Linked DNA regions of Neodiprion lecontei. The protein of the gene in region 1 purifies or fractionates together with the protein of each later gene. This does not show direct contact. Links are inferred from orthologs where the notes say so. Each region holds a gene or a part of one and is shown on either strand. Other genes may lie near its edges.

What was found. The genes of interacting proteins can lie anywhere in the genome.
Region 2: the proteins of DNA topoisomerase 2-binding protein 1-B (region 1) and serine/threonine-protein kinase ATR-like purify together in Homo sapiens (affinity purification with western blotting; 8 studies listed by BioGRID). This does not show direct contact. The link is inferred for Neodiprion lecontei from reciprocal best matches to the Homo sapiens genes TOPBP1 and ATR.

The regions. Positions count from the first base shown.
Region 1 is NC_060264.1:28,711,223-28,714,981, reverse strand, and holds the start of DNA topoisomerase 2-binding protein 1-B, read left to right. Parts: upstream 1-1,406; 5' UTR 1,407-1,885; intron 1,886-2,082; 5' UTR 2,083-2,095; coding exon 2,096-2,218; intron 2,219-2,439; coding exon 2,440-2,579; intron 2,580-2,818; coding exon 2,819-2,954; intron 2,955-3,302; coding exon 3,303-3,410; intron 3,411-3,501; coding exon 3,502-3,705; intron 3,706-3,759. Other genes in the region: uncharacterized protein LOC124294485, read right to left, coding at 1-429. UniProt on the Homo sapiens protein: Scaffold protein that acts as a key protein-protein adapter in DNA replication and DNA repair. Composed of multiple BRCT domains, which specifically recognize and bind phosphorylated proteins, bringing proteins together into functional combinations.
Region 2 is NC_060264.1:32,008,367-32,012,125, forward strand, and holds the start of serine/threonine-protein kinase ATR-like, read left to right. Parts: upstream 1-1,564; 5' UTR 1,565-1,818; coding exon 1,819-1,862; intron 1,863-2,123; coding exon 2,124-2,329; intron 2,330-2,419; coding exon 2,420-2,590; intron 2,591-2,705; coding exon 2,706-2,863; intron 2,864-3,099; coding exon 3,100-3,249; intron 3,250-3,343; coding exon 3,344-3,545; intron 3,546-3,627; coding exon 3,628-3,749; intron 3,750-3,759. Other genes in the region: neuronal PAS domain-containing protein 4A, read left to right, coding at 94-882. UniProt on the Homo sapiens protein: Serine/threonine protein kinase which activates checkpoint signaling upon genotoxic stresses such as ionizing radiation (IR), ultraviolet light (UV), or DNA replication stalling, thereby acting as a DNA damage sensor.

The sequences.
Region 1 (3,759 bases):
ACCGATGGATTCATGGGTTGGTAATACTGGCAACTGAAACTGTCTCTCGCAATTGTCAACATCACGAAAATTTCCAATTCCCTTCAAATATGTTAGCAATGGCTTGGGTACGTGCCATGATTCGTTGTTTAGCTTGTACATTTCAGCCAGAAACTGATGTGATGTCCTCTGCATCGAATTAGGAAGAACCGCTGCAAACCGCATCCACAAATGAATGACAGCATAATATTGAAAAACTGATTCTGAGAAATTGGCAGAAAATTCTGGGTTTTCAGCGCACAGTGCAGCGTAAACGCGAGAGCACAACGATATGTAGCTGTCGGTTGTTATCGTAAAATATCGTGCTGTCTTCATTTCCGTTAACTTGATCTCAATCTCCGGAGTCTCAAAATCGAGAGGATCTTCCAATTGATCGTCCGCAGATGCCATGTTCCTTTGTCTTCGTCAGTGACTTTGTGGCTATTTCTTCAATGCTGGTGCTGTTTCTAGTACTTTCACTGATTTTTTTCTAATTGAAATAAACAATGTCACAATATTAAAAGAACAATCACTACTTTTAAATAGTTATTTCGCTATTCTACCACCTTCTTGTAGGACAGAAAATATCGTTTACGAGTACTACGATAAGAACTAAGCGTGGAATGAGCAAAGACGCGGGCTCACAATTGGCCAGGCTTCTCGTTTCCCTCCTATACCGCCACTCTGCAATGATGTGATCAAGTGTCGTAAGACTGATGGGATTCCCCCGGTTTTTTCCACGGCGCGAGAAGTTGTGTATTCCCCATAGACTTATCAAGATTTTCAGTCACGCCTTAACACAAAGCGATATCATTAGTTAAATTCGACTAATTCATTGCTTTATGCGTTGAGTAAAGCTGTTAAAGCAGTTACGTTAAAAGGATTTTGAGTGCTTGCGAATTGCGTGTTAACTTTCAGCGGTAAAAAATCGACCTGATCGCTAATATGGCTCCTTATGGCCCCAGGCACACTTACCCGCCGAGTACTGCTCACAGAAATTTGCTAACAATCCTTTTAGAAACGATTGTAAACGTTTCTAGACTAAGTATGAAAGGGGTAAGCGTCTTTTAATTTTTTAGCCAACGCTTCCTATGAGACTTAGAAAATTGTTCCGATTCCGTTCTGAAATCTAATACCGAGAGCGTTCTGGAAGTATGGTTTTCCTAGGACACTTTTCCCATTTTCCATGGGTGCGTTCCGAAATTAGCTCCCAGTGCTGTCAACAATCTTTTATCTCATTTGTGCTGTCGAGTTCAGGCACTGATCTGTGTTATATAGAGATCAGTGACCACGACCAAAAATTATTACAAAATCAAAAAACATTAGTCACGCGCATGCGTATTGCGACTCCATTTTACATTATCCATTTCACGAATGAAAATACTCTCCTGACACAACCGTCGTGAAACATCGTAAAATATCGTAAAGCAGCGACCGGGACGCGGGAAATGCCGTATACTAGTTATACCAATTGGCAGTTAGTTTATCCTGGTTTTTTAATTATTCACCGGGTTGGCACAGAGATTGTCATTATGAAATGACTTGACTTGACGGCAGATCAAGAATATAGATGTTTGTCTATTATGATTTAGCCATCGCTCTACATCACAATAATTGTTATTTATCATATTTTTATCTGGAGTTTGAGAATCGTTGTAGTTTTAGGAATATAACCTATTCTGCAGCCTTTTCTACGTTCAAAATTACAAACGCCGGACCATTTTCAATTCGAGTTATCATAAGTTTAATACACGAGAACTGGAACTTGGGTAATTTTTTCAATACATCAAAGACACAAGTATAAGTTTCCAGTAACTTGTCAATAATAATTTATGACTTACAAGTACTCGGATCTAAAATTTTAAAGGTAAGAACTCTTTGTTTTTCAAATCTTTTGTAACACATTTCTTACCTTCAATTCCACTTTCAGTAATAAGGCATGACACTCTGTATTTTATGGTCAACCCATGTTCAGTACAAAGTAATTATTGTCAATGGTAGATTTAACTATATGCCAATTTAGAGCAGAAATTCAATTTAGATCAAATTCTCATTACATTACAGTTGATTTGGATTTATGAAATACAGAATGACCAGCGAAGGAAGTCAGGTGGACTCCGATTTGAACATATATTTTGTCATAACGAGAGATCAGAAAGATGAGAACGATTGCTCAAGCGACATGTGGCATGCATTTAATGTAAGTATATCTGTTTAACCATACTAAAAATTTCATGGGTATTTGCTGACATTCAACCATAAATCACCTACTGCAGTTCAATGCAATTTGTGATTCTGAAGATTTAATTTTCTGCAAATAGTGCAAATAATTGATTTCACAGGATAAACTACAAAGTATAATCATATGCACGGTAAAATTTTATGCTCCAAGTTTTTTCTGATCACACTTTTATTTTATAGAGCTGCGACGAACACGAATTATCGCCAAAATGGATTAAAGAGAATTTATGCGACAACTTAGCACCAGGAAAGAAGGACGTGTTTGTATTGGAAGAATTTGAGGGGTCAACGTTCGCACATTTGAAAAAATTTAAATGCTCGTAAGAATTTAATACAGCTGTTGATTGTAGCAACATTTACAGTATTCATACCATTTACATTTCTAATCAGAAAATTGAATCTGCATGTCATGAATTTCTTACATTATACAATATTTCCTTCAAACAAACTCATTTCACTTATCATAATAAATCAGCACATAAATATCAAAGCTCGATGAAAACTCGGTTGAAAAATTACGTAAGCTGCTAGTAACAACTGATGGTTCATTATGTTTTAGCAGAATAGTTGGACCGCGATGTTTACTGAGCTGTTTCATGACCGGGGAACCAATTCCCGAAGGAACCAGCCCAGTATTCACAACTGCAATGAGAGGCCTGGTTGTCAGTGTGTCTGGTCTCACTTCAGAGGCAAAAGTACATATTATCTACGAATTATTTTCAAATTATAGAGGCAATTGCAAGTTGGTATGCAAACAACTGTGATGCTTGTATGATACTATCCTGTTCCGATGAAATAGCAATTGTTATATTGCGATCATTTAAAAATTACAAGGGTTCTTTATTGTATTGCCTTCAGTGAAAATTATTGTTCAAGTTTTATTGATCGTTTTGTGTTTTATAGAAAAACAGATAATTTTTTGCGTAAATATTGTCTTCTGTGTGCTCCTAAGCAAACAAAGACATTTAAACATATATATACTCACAGTTGACAAAAGGTAATTCAATCATCGATTATTCTGAGTCTGATTTTTTTGTTTTCAGGAAAATATAGGAAGGAAGGTAGAATACATGGGGGGTGTTTATTCGCGACAATTGCGAAACAGTGTCACACATTTGATTGCAAATTTTGTGATGTCTGAGAAGTACGAGGTCTGTATATTTATATATGGCTAAAAACATTAACAACGACTCTTACAAACACGAATTGTAGCAATTTTCGATATCATTTATACTTTTCTAGAAAGCTGTTGAACAAAAAATACCAGTCATGACTGAGAATTGGGTAACAGCAGTATGGGAAGCAAGTCTTGTGGAAAATATACGGGCTACGAGCAGTAGATTTGACGAATACAAGTGCCCTGTCTTCATGAATCTAGTTGTTACCTCAACCAATTTATCTAAGCGAAAAAAAGAGATTAAACAATTGATCACTGATAATGGTGGGGTAAGTATTAACATCCAATGTGTGATGTTTCTCATTGCCCAGAGCTTTGAGCGA
Region 2 (3,759 bases), about 3.3 Mb from region 1:
ACGAAAAAAACACGCGAATCGGACTAATACACACTCAATATTACAAAATTCCCGTTATCTTTCGAACATGCCACGTATTCTTGAACGTTGCAGCATTCTTCAACGCACATTAGTCGGGAGACTTCGGAACCGGTGGACATGTCGATAAACGGAGCCGTGATCTCACACCACACAGGGGACATCGAGCAGCGAACCCTCCACATACTTTCCCAAGCCCTGACATTCAACATCCGTAATAACAAGCAGCGGAAAGGGAGCAGCACCCTGCTCCAGCAGCAGATGCATCACGGCAACTCTGTTCCCGGGGTTAGTTCAACGATTTTGCGAGAGTGTTCATCCCCGAGATGTTCTCCGAAGTACGTGAGTCTAACGGACCTGGACAAGAGTTACGGTGATAGTACCGAAGTGACTTCAATCGTAGCTTCGGCTTGCTGCACAGCAACAGCGATAGACAGCTGCAGCTATAACTCGCAGAGGCGGCTGGTGATTAAAACTGCGACGATCGTCGAGCCGGCCGAGGTCTGTACCGAGCCTTGGGGCTCGGCTTGTACTTCCGTTGGCAACGCTTGGGTCGACACTCTCCAAAAGGTTCCTGATATCGTCCAGCTCCAGGAGCTCAGTCCCTGCGTCACAACGCCTACCACACCTTGCACCGACGTCTCTGCTGACTCGGACCTCAGGTCCGGGACGCCGATTTTCAATTTTGACTGGTCAGCCGAGCACCACGTGCCCAGCCTCAAGGTCAACTTCCGTAACATCACCAGCCACGAGAGCAAGCGGACTCTTGTGCAACCTTGCGAGGTTTCGCAGCCTGCTATCACCCTACAGTTACCTGCTACGAGGCGAAAACATACAGGGGCGGGTTCTGACGTTACAAAATGATTTACTAAATGAGGACGAATGTCCTTCTGAAAGACCGTGGTTACACTGATCGGTGCTGTTTGTCTCTTTTTCGGATTGAACTATGTGCCCGTGGATTATCGATTTCGATTTTGGGAGTCATGATAGCTATAAAAAATACTTAAACTCACGAATATACCAATTTCTGTTTCACAAAATTTGACTAGCAAAATTATTACTGCAGAGTTAACGGAACGAGAACGATGATTAATTGTTTTTTGTGCGTACGTGACTATCATATTGTTACAATTATTCTCCGTGTAAATGTATTATCATTTCTATTATATGTGTATAGTTATATAGTACGCGAGTGTGATGATGTATGTTACTATTTTCATTTCGGAGTTGTTTGTATAATAATTATTATTATGTGAATAAAATGGTGCTAAAATTCTAAATCGTGTGGTCTAAAATCACTGAATTAGTATTATTATTATATTTCACCGGTCTAAATACGTGATGCCATAAGCAAACACTTACCTAGGTATACAAATTTTAGGGACCCTACCAGAGCTGACTGATTCTACGTAGTCTTACCAACAGTCGGTACACTTACCGTCCGCGGTGAATCTGCATTACCGACCAGTATTACCGCCGTGTTTCCCATGCGGTCCGACGCCCTCGCGACTCAGCCAGTTTGAATTGTACAGCATGGCCTGTCAGTCGCGAATTCGCTCTGCAACCGCTTGTGGAGTTTGATGAATAGGGGTGTAAATTCTGTGATAGCAAGAATTTTAGCAATTTTTGGCTTTAGTTATGAAGGCGGCAATATGTGCTCTTTTCAGTTGAATAAAATACCGCATGTGTCAAGCAAATTCTTCGTTGATGCGAGTCCAAACAATATTCCAACCTCCTATCTCGTATCGTCAATACGAAGTCTTTCGTAGTTCGCAAGGAAAACAAACCTAAATAAAAATCATGAGCAGCGATTCTACTACCGAATTATCAAATTCGAGTAACAGGTAAGTCTTGATGTTCTAACCTCTTATTAATTAACCCAATACTTGTATTGAATTATTTGGACACCGGCAAATTCGTACATCACAGACGTGATTTTGTTTGTAATTGTGTATTTTTTAATTTTATTATTCTAACCCCTTCAATTCTTATATATAACATTATTTGAACACTGGTAAATTCGAACATGAGCAGATGTAAATTCATCCTCTTGTACTCTTATCATCGAAACAATATATTTGTTATTATGGTTCATCTATCAACAGTAGCGTAGCGACTGCAGAAACAGTATGGAGAGTGATAAACAACCCTTTGGTCGCTATATTGTCGGACCTACAAAACGACACGGCGGAACGAACAATTCGTGTCATTTTGGGTTCCATTCTTAAGGGGTCTGCCAACCTGACAAATGTTTTGGTTCCCCCGCAGGCGGTAGGAGAGAATTACAAAAATCTCGAGAGACAGTATACAGGTAAATATAGGAGCTTATCGACGCCAACAAATAAAAATTGATAAAAGTGTTGGTGTGATGCGAAGAATCATTTCTCCTATTTTATTACAGAATTTACAATTTGGCTTTTTGGAACGATGTTCTACATATCGGGTGCACCGTTTGGTACAGAAGTACACTCTAGCAGTTTGGAAGTACAAGCTTGTATGCTGCGCATATTGGCTACACATTACCCACCGAATTTTAATCGAATATCTTCAGAGCTGCTGGATGTTTTGGAAGGTGTGTCTAAAAGAGTTTTGAATCTGTTTTTTAACCGTTGGCTAATAGCATGGTTTGAATAGCAAGGAAGAAATGAACTATGTGATATAATAACCTCAGGTCCTTACGTTTACAGATATTGTAAAATTTGAAGCAAACTGTAAGCCTGGAGATCAGATGGAAATAGCCAGATTCCAGGCTGAGTCTGGTGTTATAGGTTACTTAGATCTCGTTTCCTTGCCGCTCAGGGTACCTGAAAAAAGGCTTTATTCTCTACAGATTTTTATATCAAAGGTAACGTTAAGGGGTTGATGGTTCAACTTGACAACCATAGCAAGTCATAATAGTAGAACGAATAACAAGTCTGTGCATAAGAGTTGTTCAATGAACTAATTGAAACAATAGTAGAATTAATTCATCGATATCTATATAGAAAAAAAATTTCATGTCGCATCTTAATTATGATATGTATTTTTTTGACTTTCAATCACATTGCTGGTCCCATTTTAACCATCGTTTGATCTTTGCAGATCATTTTAAACATTGGTGTTACACAATGGAACCAGTCAAGGTTATGGGATGTGTGTCTCAAAATGATCGTTGATTCTTCACCAGATGTAAAATTCCTTGCACTAAAAATTGCGACGCAGATGATGCAAAGATCGCTAATTGGGCCAAAGGTGTCGATAAAAACACAATGATTTTTCAATATCGTGTCCATATTCGTAGCATATTTTCCTCTACAATCATATTTTTCTTTTTTTCATCATTAAGGAAAAATACGCAATCATAGTTCGGACTATAGAGATGGTCAAGCTTGTTCCTAGCTGGAAAAGTCTTGGTATACTATCGGCAGGCACGGATGCAGAATGGGTGGAAATTTTGACGAATTTTGTCAGCGAGATGGGAACTTCTCCAACTGCTACCAGCCTTTGTTATGATGTCATTGATTTGACAATCTGCAATAATTTTGATGGTAAGTTTAAAAGCAATTTGTAATTAAATAAGATCGAATATACTAACTGAAGAACAGTCATGAATTAAACGTTCAATTACAGTAAGTTCTGAGCCCTTGAGAGATGCAGCGTGCGCCAAAATCACGCGTTATTTAATGGACAATCCAACCTCATGTACTCCTGACGAAATAACCAGGTGTTCTATTTATCTTAAGAATTGGACGGTAAGCATTT